3 linked regions of the Xenopus tropicalis genome follow. The protein of the gene in region 2 purifies or fractionates together with the protein of the main gene of each other region. This does not show direct contact. Links are inferred from orthologs where the notes say so. Each region holds a gene or a part of one and is shown on either strand. Other genes may lie near its edges.

What was found.
Region 1: the proteins of dis3l (region 2) and eukaryotic translation initiation factor 4E type 2 purify together in Homo sapiens (affinity purification with mass spectrometry; 3 studies listed by BioGRID and IntAct, with this or other methods). This does not show direct contact. The link is inferred for Xenopus tropicalis from reciprocal best matches to the Homo sapiens genes DIS3L and EIF4E2.
Region 3: the proteins of dis3l (region 2) and hbs1l purify together in Homo sapiens (affinity purification with mass spectrometry; 5 studies listed by BioGRID and IntAct, with this or other methods). This does not show direct contact. The link is inferred for Xenopus tropicalis from reciprocal best matches to the Homo sapiens genes DIS3L and HBS1L.

What each region holds. Positions count from the first base shown.
Region 1 is NC_030681.2:101,897,807-101,901,306, reverse strand, and holds part of eukaryotic translation initiation factor 4E type 2, read left to right. Parts: intron 1-800; coding exon 801-937; intron 938-3,187; coding exon 3,188-3,227; coding exon of another isoform or gene 3,228-3,271; 3' UTR 3,272-3,500. UniProt on the Homo sapiens protein: Recognizes and binds the 7-methylguanosine-containing mRNA cap during an early step in the initiation. Acts as a repressor of translation initiation.
Region 2 is NC_030679.2:117,114,418-117,117,917, forward strand, and holds part of dis3l (DIS3-like exonuclease 1), read left to right. Parts: intron 1-1,717; coding exon 1,718-1,846; intron 1,847-2,358; coding exon 2,359-2,494; intron 2,495-3,036; coding exon 3,037-3,213; intron 3,214-3,300; coding exon 3,301-3,379; intron 3,380-3,500. UniProt on the Homo sapiens protein: Catalytic component of the RNA exosome complex which has 3'->5' exoribonuclease activity and participates in a multitude of cellular RNA processing and degradation events.
Region 3 is NC_030681.2:71,584,933-71,588,432, reverse strand, and holds part of hbs1l (HBS1-like protein), read left to right. Parts: intron 1-22; coding exon 23-140; intron 141-863; exon of another isoform or gene 864-956; intron 957-2,128; coding exon 2,129-2,275; exon of another isoform or gene 2,276-2,621; coding exon 2,622-2,696; intron 2,697-3,500. UniProt on the Homo sapiens protein: GTPase component of the Pelota-HBS1L complex, a complex that recognizes stalled ribosomes and triggers the No-Go Decay (NGD) pathway.

The DNA of each region.
Region 1 (3,500 bases), on a different chromosome or scaffold from region 2:
TAATCTTCAATTCTATGTTATAGATAGGCGGAACAAATACATCAACATAATCATTCAAGCAAGGGCAGATTATTATTAAGATTATCAATATGACTGTGGCCTACTTAAGGCCTGTGCCCAGTTTCACTCTCACATTTACCAGGTATCAGTCCTTAACTGGAAAGAAGAGAAATACATTTAGGAATTTCAATTAAAGGGGATGTTTATCTTTTTGCAAAGTCCTAACAGAGTGGTCAAGCTTTTCAAAAAAAAAAAAAAAACTGTACGCACTATAATTGTTTTTTGTTTTTTTTTAAAGTGATACAAAAGCCTATATATTGTATGAATGCTTCAAATATCTGCTTATTTGGATTCTGTCCATTCTCTGGTACTTAATTTAACACTGTTAGCCAACCAGATCAATGTGCAAAGGAATGACCATGGCCAGGCATGTACAATAGCACTAAATCCCTCTCTAGCTGAACTGGTGCACTTTGTCCCCTCCTGCTGCCAGTCTCTCCATCTGCACCAAACCTGAATTGTGTAATAAAAGTCATGGAAACACCACAGCAGTTTTTATCTCTAATAAAAACAAATTCACCTTAACTTTAACCTAGCCAGTAAGTTTGAGTTAGTAAAAATGTAGTCATTTGTAAGTATCAAGACTTTATGGTAGTATCTTACCAACTCTGTTCATTTTACCCATGCTTACAGTTAAAACACATTCGATCTAGACTAAGAGTTTTAATTCTTAATATGTTTGTGATTCAGGGATATGGTTATTAAGTAAAAAGAAATCGTTTTCTATATTGAATGCACAGGAAGACATCATATCTATTTGGAACAAAACTGCAAGTGATCAGGCAACCACTGCTCGTATTCGAGACACATTGCGGCGAGTCCTGAATTTGCCTCCCAACACTGTTATGGAATACAAAACGCACACAGACAGCATCAAGTATGTAGTTCTCAGCTTGTAAATCATGATGAAAAAATACATTTCAATTTTGATGGGCTAAACTATACTAAGGAATGCATTAAGAATAACTGTAGCTTATTGCTTCCCAAATTTACATATATGGGAAATTCAGTTTGTTTCAAGGGCCAGATTATATTAAAAATTACACAGGGAACTTTATGAAACTCTTTGAGGGCCACGTCCAACTCAAGAGGCTTCGGCTGGACTGCTTGGTATAGCTTCCTTCTTCAGCATAGGAGAAAGGCTCAGAACTGGATTGCTCAAAATTGTAAAATGTTAAATAATGTTAAAATAATCAAAAAATTTAAACTCTCAAGAAAAAGATACATGGTATGAAAGTTTGCATACAAAGTAAAGCTTGTCAATTCATTTACAACCTAATTGTATGTTTACATTGTTTCAGCAATCCATTGTTACTAGTTAGAGTAGTTTAGAATTATCAGCTGTTTATTGTTCCCTGTTCATTTTTAAAACTGCCATTATTCTTGATCAGTCAGATTCATCATACAAAGATTTAAAAGTTGCTTATATGTTTTTGGTCCCAGGTGCTGGCATATAATAAAAATTTGTCCTTATTTTATGTCACTTTTAACCAGTCATCAGAATAAAGTTCAAAGACATCCAGTTCCAGGATAAGTCATAACCGATAAAGAAAGTCTGACCAGTCAGCCACGCAGGATAGAGTACTCTGCTCAGTGGGAAATTAGGGTTGCCAGTTTCATGTCATGCAGAACAACCCATGTTGCAAAAAGCGTTTCTTCTGTACAACAGTACCTCTTTTAGAGGTTACTATAAATATAGATACCCCCACCTGAATATGGTATCCCTATCCAGCTGCACTAGAAAAACTGTTTTTTTGCATATTATGTGTTTAATCATTGTTAATGCTGAGGTCTGAGGTCTTTAGCCTGAGGTCTTGCAGCGGATCCTGATAGGCTACAAACTTAGGTTACTAAAAGAGAGGTTACAGATGCTTGCTTATGAAGGTCAGTTCTTAGGATAATGACAAATGGTGCATTTTGCTTCCCGCACCATTTCTAGCTTAGGTCGGTACACCCATTCAGGTTATCATCACTCAGAATGTGACATTGCTCATTTGCAAATTAATCACATGCCTAGTGGGCTACCAATGAGCTTGAAGTAGCTTGTGTGGCAAAACTCTGTGCGCTATTACCACTAGAGTGCTCTGTAGCTGTCCTACCAATACCTTTGAGGTATATAGCTAAAACTTGGGTTGCTCAGATCCCAGGGTAGGGATTCACACAGTGGGCTACACTAAAACACACATGGCATCTTTAAGATGGGAAAGGGCAAGGAGCCTTAAACAGTTTCCAAATCATTGAACAACACAAGGTTGACGTTTCCTCTACTGGCACTGGAGGGAAAAGTAATTCTTCATTTGTGTAATCTTTGGACCAAATGTAAAATTAATTAGTTAAAGGAGAACTGCAGCCATGCTAAAACCATAGGCACCCTCCAGAGGACAGCCTCCTCACTCCTGATCTGCACTACAGGATAGTCCCATTACAGTTTTGTTTGCTGTACTTGGTTATAAAAAGCAGAGGGGTTGGCGAGTGGCATCTTACGCCGTGTGATATTTTCTTCTCAGCAATCACTGAAGAAGAACATGCTCCTGGTGTGATCAGCAGCCCCACTGCACTACTTTTTTTATTTGTTTTGTATTTCTCTCTTGACTCAAGAGAGGTGGCTGTTGGACTGTAAACGAAAGAAATCCTTAGCCTTCAGTGCATTCTCCAGCTATAGTTTAGCAAGCCGTTACTTCTAATAAATGTCTATCAGTCCCAGTTAGTCTTATTTTTTAGATTAAAGTAAAGTAAAGTGCTATTTTTTTTTTTTCTTGTTTTTTGTTCTTATTTCTGGTTGCCCAGGGCCTGGGAAGAATTTCACGGCCTGGTGAACAACAGCGGCCGCTGAATGATTTCTCCCCCTCTCCCTGCATCCCACACCCAGCGGTAGGGCCTTTTTTAAAAACAATTCTTCCAAATAGTCACACATATGAAATGAGTGTTCCATTTTTTTGAAAGTATTTCCAGAAATGATCATTTTATGTGTGTTTGAATGTTTGCTTACAGCAAATAAAGTGGAGATGTATCCATGCACTGCCCCCTTAGCTATGCCAGGCCCACATTAGAGAGTTATTGAACAAAGCAGCATACTATGGTTTGTTTGCCATGTGCATGAGTTAATGGCTGTTTTTTTTATTTGCAGGGACAAAACAAGCTTCAGAAATACCAAAATTGCTTTGTGAACACAAGGATCTACTCCTGCTTTGCTGACCTGCTTTCAGTTTGAGTATTCTCAGTTTTAAGCACCACCATGTAGCTTTATGGCCGGTGGCCCAACGGTTCTTGGGAAAAATTCTATACAGCTTCAAATCTAGCTGGGATTGGGTCGAACTGTCTTTTTGTTGTTTTTGTTTTTTTTTAAGCCTGTTATCTACATCAATCCTCTTTCCAAGACCTATCCACTACAGCTGCATCCCTCACGGGAGGAAAAAGCATTGTACATTATTTTTGGAATC
Region 2 (3,500 bases):
AATCATCATTGCCTGGCAGATATCTCTGGCATCTCTAGACATGTGGCACATCTAGACCTGGACACTAGGAAACTCATGTGGATTGTCCCTGTCTAAGAACTGGCTTTCTATCATTACTAAAAACCTCACATGTAAAGCCATCTGTAGCCAGCGATTGTCTTTGCCAATTAATGTGGTCTGGCTAGTTGGCCACAAGGCATGCAATATCTAGCTGGCATTAGAAACATCGTCATGTGCTGCTCAGGCTCTATAAACCTAAAAGGGACATGTTACAGATAAGCTGTGATTGCTGTATATTGTACCATTGCGTGTGAAACATTGCTTATGTGCAATGGCACAATAAATAACGGCATGTTTGTAGAAGGCTGGGCCCCCTTATTTATAGAAACTGGTTGCATTTTGATGTGGCCTTACATCTGGGGGTTGCAGCACTGGACTAAGATAATTGGCACAAAAATGCTGGGAATGCTCCTGCCAAACTGTTTTCATTATGTGCTGCAAGGGAGCTAAGCAGAAGCGACTGAATAGGCTATACACATGGACAGTTTTGGGCCACAAACACAATACACACTTCTGGCTGTAAAATTTGCTGCATCTGCAAATTCTAATGTCAGGACAACTAGTGTCTCTGTGGCAATTGTGTCTTTCAGAAAAATGACCCTGCTGTTTTCCTAATAATTTTTATTCTTAAAGGGGAACTCCACCCAAACACAACTTAAGCTTTTTGAAAAGAAAAAATAATTTTAAGCAACTTAAGCAATATACATCAATGAATGCAGCCTTTTCATAACTTTTAAAATAATAATATGGATTGGAAAAGTTACCTAAGCCTCGCCCTGCTGTTCCCCTGATGATCTGGCTAACTACTTGGGGACTCAAATAAAATTGCAACAATAGTCAACTGTCCTCAGCCTGCATCCTCAAAACCCCACACATCCTGCAATGCATTGTGGGTTATACAATTCCTGCATGCTGCCTGTAAGGCAGGGGGCTCAAACTCAATTTACCTGGGGGCCGCAGGAGGCAAAGTCAGGATGAGGCTGGGCCGCATAAGGGATTTCACAAAAAATTGGCTTTCAAGGGATAATGCAAGGCACGGCGGGAGCTGCCGATTGTGGAAATGACGTTATGCCATCATAACAGTTATTATGGGAAGACGTTCTGTGTGCACAATTAGCTCCTTAGCAGCTAATTGTGCACACAGAATGTCTTCCCATAATAACTGTTATGATGGAATAACGTCATTTCCGCAATCAGCAGCTCCCACCCACCGTGCCTTGCATTATCCCTTGAATCGCAATCCATTCATTGCTTTTGAGAAGGCGTTGGTGCGGGCCACAAAATACTGTACCGAGGGCCGCAAATGGCCCGCGGGCCGCGAGTTTGAGACCCCTGCTGTAAGGTGTGGAGAAGTTGTTATACTTCAGACTGGATTTTATCTAAAGGCATGATAAATGTCCACTTTATCTATCCAACAAATGTGATTTGTGTAATGATTTTGTTAGGATGTGACTATCATGTAATGAGCATCCTGCTTAAGAAATAATGTTCTAGGAAACATTAACCATTAAGTGATTATTAAGCTGCAGAATGAATGGCCATGTAAGTAGTGGTTGGTTATTTTCCTTCCAGTTTTGTTTGTTTTTTCTTTCTAAGATCTTAATTTTATCTGGCCTATTGTTTTTGGCTAAGCTAGGTTTATTGTGCTGTGTTTCAGGCAATACAAGAGGTTGTGTTCTCTGCTCAGAGATACTCGTCATGACTGCATTTTGTTTTCCAATGAGTTCCAGAACCATGCCTATCTTCCTAGAGAAATGGGGGAATCTGCTTTGGCCTGGCAAACAAGGTACTTCAGTTTGTCTGTAACGCTGCCACCTTATAGAATCAAAGCCTGACCTAACTGCACCATTCTTAATGGGATGGTTGATGTTTGAATGTCCTTGCAATTGGTCTTCATGATTTATTCTTTGTAGTTTTTTAATTATTTGCCTTCCTCTTCCCCTCCAGCCCAAATGGGGGTCACTAACTCTAGCAGCCAAAAACGATTGCTCTGTGAGGCTACAATTGTATTGTTATTATAACCTTTTATAACTTATTATTCTATTTCAGATTATCTTCTATGCTTATTTCAATCTCTTATTCAAACCACTGTCTAGTTGCTAGGGAAAATAAGACCCTAGTAACCAGATAGCCACTGAAGTACTTAACTGGAGAGCTGCTGATCAAAAGACTAAATAACTGAAAAATCATAAAAAATAAAAGATGAAGACCAGTTACAAACTGTCTCAGAATATCACTATCTACATCATACTAAAAGTTAATTTAAAGGTGAACAACCTCTTTAATGCTATTACTTAGGTGCATCTACAATTCTTGTGTATGGTACTATCAACACTGTCAGAAGAAAATCCCTGTTGTGATGGTCACAGAAGATAAGTCTGTCATAAGGCAGTACAACACCGAGACCCAAGAGGTGTACGTGGTCTCATTCCAGGTCAGTGTGAGGGATTTTGTATTAATCCAAAAGGCAGGAAGAAGTGCTAAGGGACAAACTGAGAACATGTTTGCTATCAAAATAAAAATTCTAACAGCTTTCCCCGCAAATTTGTCTCTCTTTAAATAATATATAAAAACATTTTATATAAAATAATAATAGTCGGGTATATGTCACAAGGAATAGAAAAATCATCCCAAGCTAAAGAATTGCGCTTGGATAAATAATGCATTTTATAGTACAATATTATATACAACAGTGCTGTCTAACTGAAGGCCTGGAAGCCAAGTACAGTCCTCCAAAAGGTTTTGTTTTGTTTTTTTTAAAAAAAAAGCTCTATAGATTTCTTTGTATGACATTTATTATTTAAATATTTGATATCAAATATGCGGGCCACTTATATGGACAGCAATATTTAACAATATGATTTTGATTCATCAATTTATGGATATGAAAAAAAAAAAAAGGAACATTTGTAGGAATACGGGAGAGTTAGCATGATAAAGTGCTGCAGGGTAAGTGCTTTAATGCATTTTATACAGATTTACCTGGAGACTTTCTGGCCCAATTTAAAAGGAGCCCTGGAGCTGTATAAATCTCTAAAAGAAACCCATCGAGAGCGCGAGCTAGAGAGCCGGGAGGGTAACGGCAAAGAATACCCGGAGCACCTGCCACTGGAAATTCTCGAGGCTGGAATTAAATCTGGCAGATACCAACAGGTGGGTGTTCTCCAATAATACTACAGGCCATGTGGGAACATATAGGCTGCAATGGAACTCATATCTACCACTTTCTGCCTTCTCCAGGGTGTTCTCAGTGTAAACAAGCACAGAGCTCAGTTGGAAGGTTTTGTACGACTTCAGGGCTTAGGAGGAAAAGAAACAGGTATTACAGGCACCTTTTAAGGCTTATAGCTCTGTTAACTCAGTAATGTTCTGTTACAGTTTGCTTTGTGAAAGGCATTTCTCCTATGAGACTCAAAAAATTTTGAGACAGCCAGGGAAAC
Region 3 (3,500 bases), on a different chromosome or scaffold from region 2:
TACCTTTCCTTTTCCTTTAAAGGGGTGTGACGATGGATGTTGGCATGACCAAGTTTGAAACCAAGTCTAAGGTTATTACATTGATGGATGCTCCCGGACATAAAGACTTCATCCCAAACATGATCACAGGAGCTGCACAAGTATGTTTTATGTATATGATGCACTACAACATTCTTGGTTCTGCAGGAATAGTTATAAACTAATGTTTTAAATGTAACTTTTACACTCTGACTTATTCTGTAAGCCAAAGCTTATATGTTCAGTATAAATGGGCAGCTAACTACCTCTGTAGAAAAGAGGCAGCCAGTAAGTATTGCCATGTGTAATTGTTATCACTTTATGGGTTAGCCTGGCTAGTCAGTTTTTTGTGAATTATCAGACATGGAGTTCCTAGCTGCAGGCAGTGTGTTTAAGATGCACATTAATTGCCACCTCACACTTTTGCCATAGGTAGTGGTTAAAATCTGAATAGAAAACAGCAGCACATTAAAATTAAAAAAGGGTGAAGACACACTGAGCTACTAGTAGCAGCTACTTTTTCACGGCTACTAAACTCCAGCAAATCCCCTGCCATAGACAATACTGAGAATTGCCTCTGCTAAAACACAGAGACGGTTATCAATAAATGATCAGCATTTTCTATTTTAGTAGCCATGACAAGTAGCTGCTGCTAGTAGCTCTCTGTGTCTTCACCCTAAATGAATAATAAATAGTTCCATGAATATGTAGGATCTGCCATTGCCCCGTTGCCCTCCAGGGAGGATGGACCTGTAGTTTAGGAGCCACTGCTGTAGGAGTTGCTGCTGAGGTAGATTAAGGTGTTTTATTGTCTAATCATAACATCACTTTTACCTTCTCCACAGCCATTGTTTCATTGCTTCCAGTGTAAACCAGGTTCCGCAGCATCAGAAGCAACATAGGTTTGGGAACAAGGGGCATCAATTCATATTTGCAAGGCAAGCAGGAAAGCTATTTGCAAGTCCTAATAAAGACTTATATATTCTGCACATAAATAGGAACCATGGAGAGGTAGGACCATTGACCAGGAGGAGAGACCAGTTGTCATGGAGATAAAAGAAAAGTAAATTATAAAGGTCTTGTTCCACATCATATAAAACCACAACTTTTTTCATAATAAGCATTACTATTGTTTGCTATCAATGGAAGGAGATTCCATATCACTCCATAGTTCCCTTTGACTTAAGTACAGATCTTATTTCTTCTAGAAAGTCAGGGTAACTGCAGTCTTAAGTGATATTGTACAAGGTTACAAAATGGCCATAGTCTGTGAAGGAAGTGAGTGAATAGAGCAGGCATTGGTCATTCAAGAGGTTAATATGGACCAGGCAGGTAGAAAGCATAGTTGGGTTAACTTTAACATCCTATTGTTATGCTCCCTCGAAAACCACCTGCTAGTTGAAGCTGTCCTGTGTGTCAGTATACAGTATGTCACAGGATTACAGGGAGAGGCTCACTACTGGTGTCACAGGGCTGCTGAAAATGGATAGTTTTTCTTCCCCAAGATCCCACATGTAATAGGCTTAGCAACATAAATTATTTATTATAACACTAAAATAAAACTAACTATCATGAATCATGATGATATAGCTTTTCTTTAACATACATGTATAGATTGTGGCTATGTACATCACCATTTCACTGTGCAGTGCAATCCCTTTGTCTGCAGTTTTTTAAAGTTGGGGGGCTGTAAACTAGACACATGTTGACTTCTAATTGTATAAACAGCTCTTGATTATTATCATTATGTATTTATAAAACATATTCCACAGCGTTGTACAATAAAAAAAGGAACAATAACCACAAGAGCTACACGAGGTTAGAGGGCCCTGCCTGACGGTGCATCCATATCTAAAGGAGTAGGCTGCATTGTAGACTGAAAATATTAAGTCAATATAGAAAGGCTAATTGTAACATGCTGGGTGATTTATTAACTTCTCTACTCTACAAGGTTTGCTTAACATTTGTTAGAAAATCATCCGTCATGCTAAATCTCTGATGTTTCTTCCACTCCCAAAATAAAGTTTGTCAGTACAAACAATTTGTAGACACTAATATTGCAATTTAGCTCAACACTTTAATGTTATGTTAAATCTTTGCTTCATTGTAGGCAGATGTGGCTGTATTAGCTGTTGATGCTAGCCGAGGAGAGTTTGAAGCAGGCTTTGAAGCTGGAGGGCAAACACGTGAGCATGCCTTATTAGTTAGGTCTCTTGGAGTAACCCAGTTAGCTGTTGCTGTCAATAAAATGGATCAGGTATGTATTTTGCTACAGTTATTTATTCATAGATGCATTTCATAGATGTGCATTTCTATAACATTTGTAAATACCTAGTGACAGTACTTAATTATGGGCATCCTTTAAACCAATTAAACTTCGATTGGCCTTTCAAATGCTTCATTCAGGTCTGTCCTTTTTCTATCCACACAGAAAAACTTTTAAGTTTTAAGAGTGCCATTATTCCTGTTTAGACCACACATTAGCCTATATTAAAGACTATTTCATCATGTATGATTATGTATTTTTTTCGGTTTTCATTTCACTTGTGTAATAGAAAGGACCAGTTTAGTGCAGTTTTTTCTATGTATTTTGTTTTTTACAGGTTAACTGGCAACAAGAGCGATTTAATGAAGTCACCTCTAAACTTGGCCACTTCTTAAAACAAGCTGGTTTTAAGGTAATGTGTTTCACAGACAGTTTGTTGTAGTTTCTGTTCTAATTAAATACTTTCAAAGTATTGTTTTTATTTAATGTTGATATAGCACAGACAAATAAGAATTTGATGGGCTTCTCATTAGTTATGCTAAATGTGAGAGTAGTTTGTTTTATTTTTTTATTTTTTTTTTAGCTACCAGCGTCAAGTTATAACAAAGTGTAAAAACTCTGGGTTTACTAGAGTCACTTACTGCTTTGTACATCCTTTCATGTCTGTGGAATAAAGGTTCCTTAAACCACAATTCCTAGTTCCACAAGACCCTATGCACTTTTTCTGTGTAATAGAACATACAATATCTAGATAGAATTGAACTTAGAACCCCAGTTCTGAGTGCATCACCATCTATTGTACAGGTATGGCATCGCTTATCCAGAAATCTGTTATCCAGAAAGTTCTGAATAGACTCCATTATAAGCAAATCTAATTTTTAAATCTGATTTACTTTTTCTCTGTAATTATAAAACAGTACCTTGTATTTGATCCCAACTAAGTTATCATTAATCCATATTGGGGGCAATACAAGCCGATTGGGTTTAAGTTATGACTTAAGTTATGGAGATCCAAATTATGGAAAGATCCCTTATTCGGAAAACCCTGGGTCCTGAGCATTCTGGATAACAGGTCCCATACCTGCACTAATATGATTGCAACAGGCTAATATTGCAGGATTAATGTAATGTAATGTAACTTACCAGCTTGGGTAATTGCTTTGTTGTTAGTCACTTTTGTAGGTTCAGATTTTATTGATCAATCCAAAACATTACT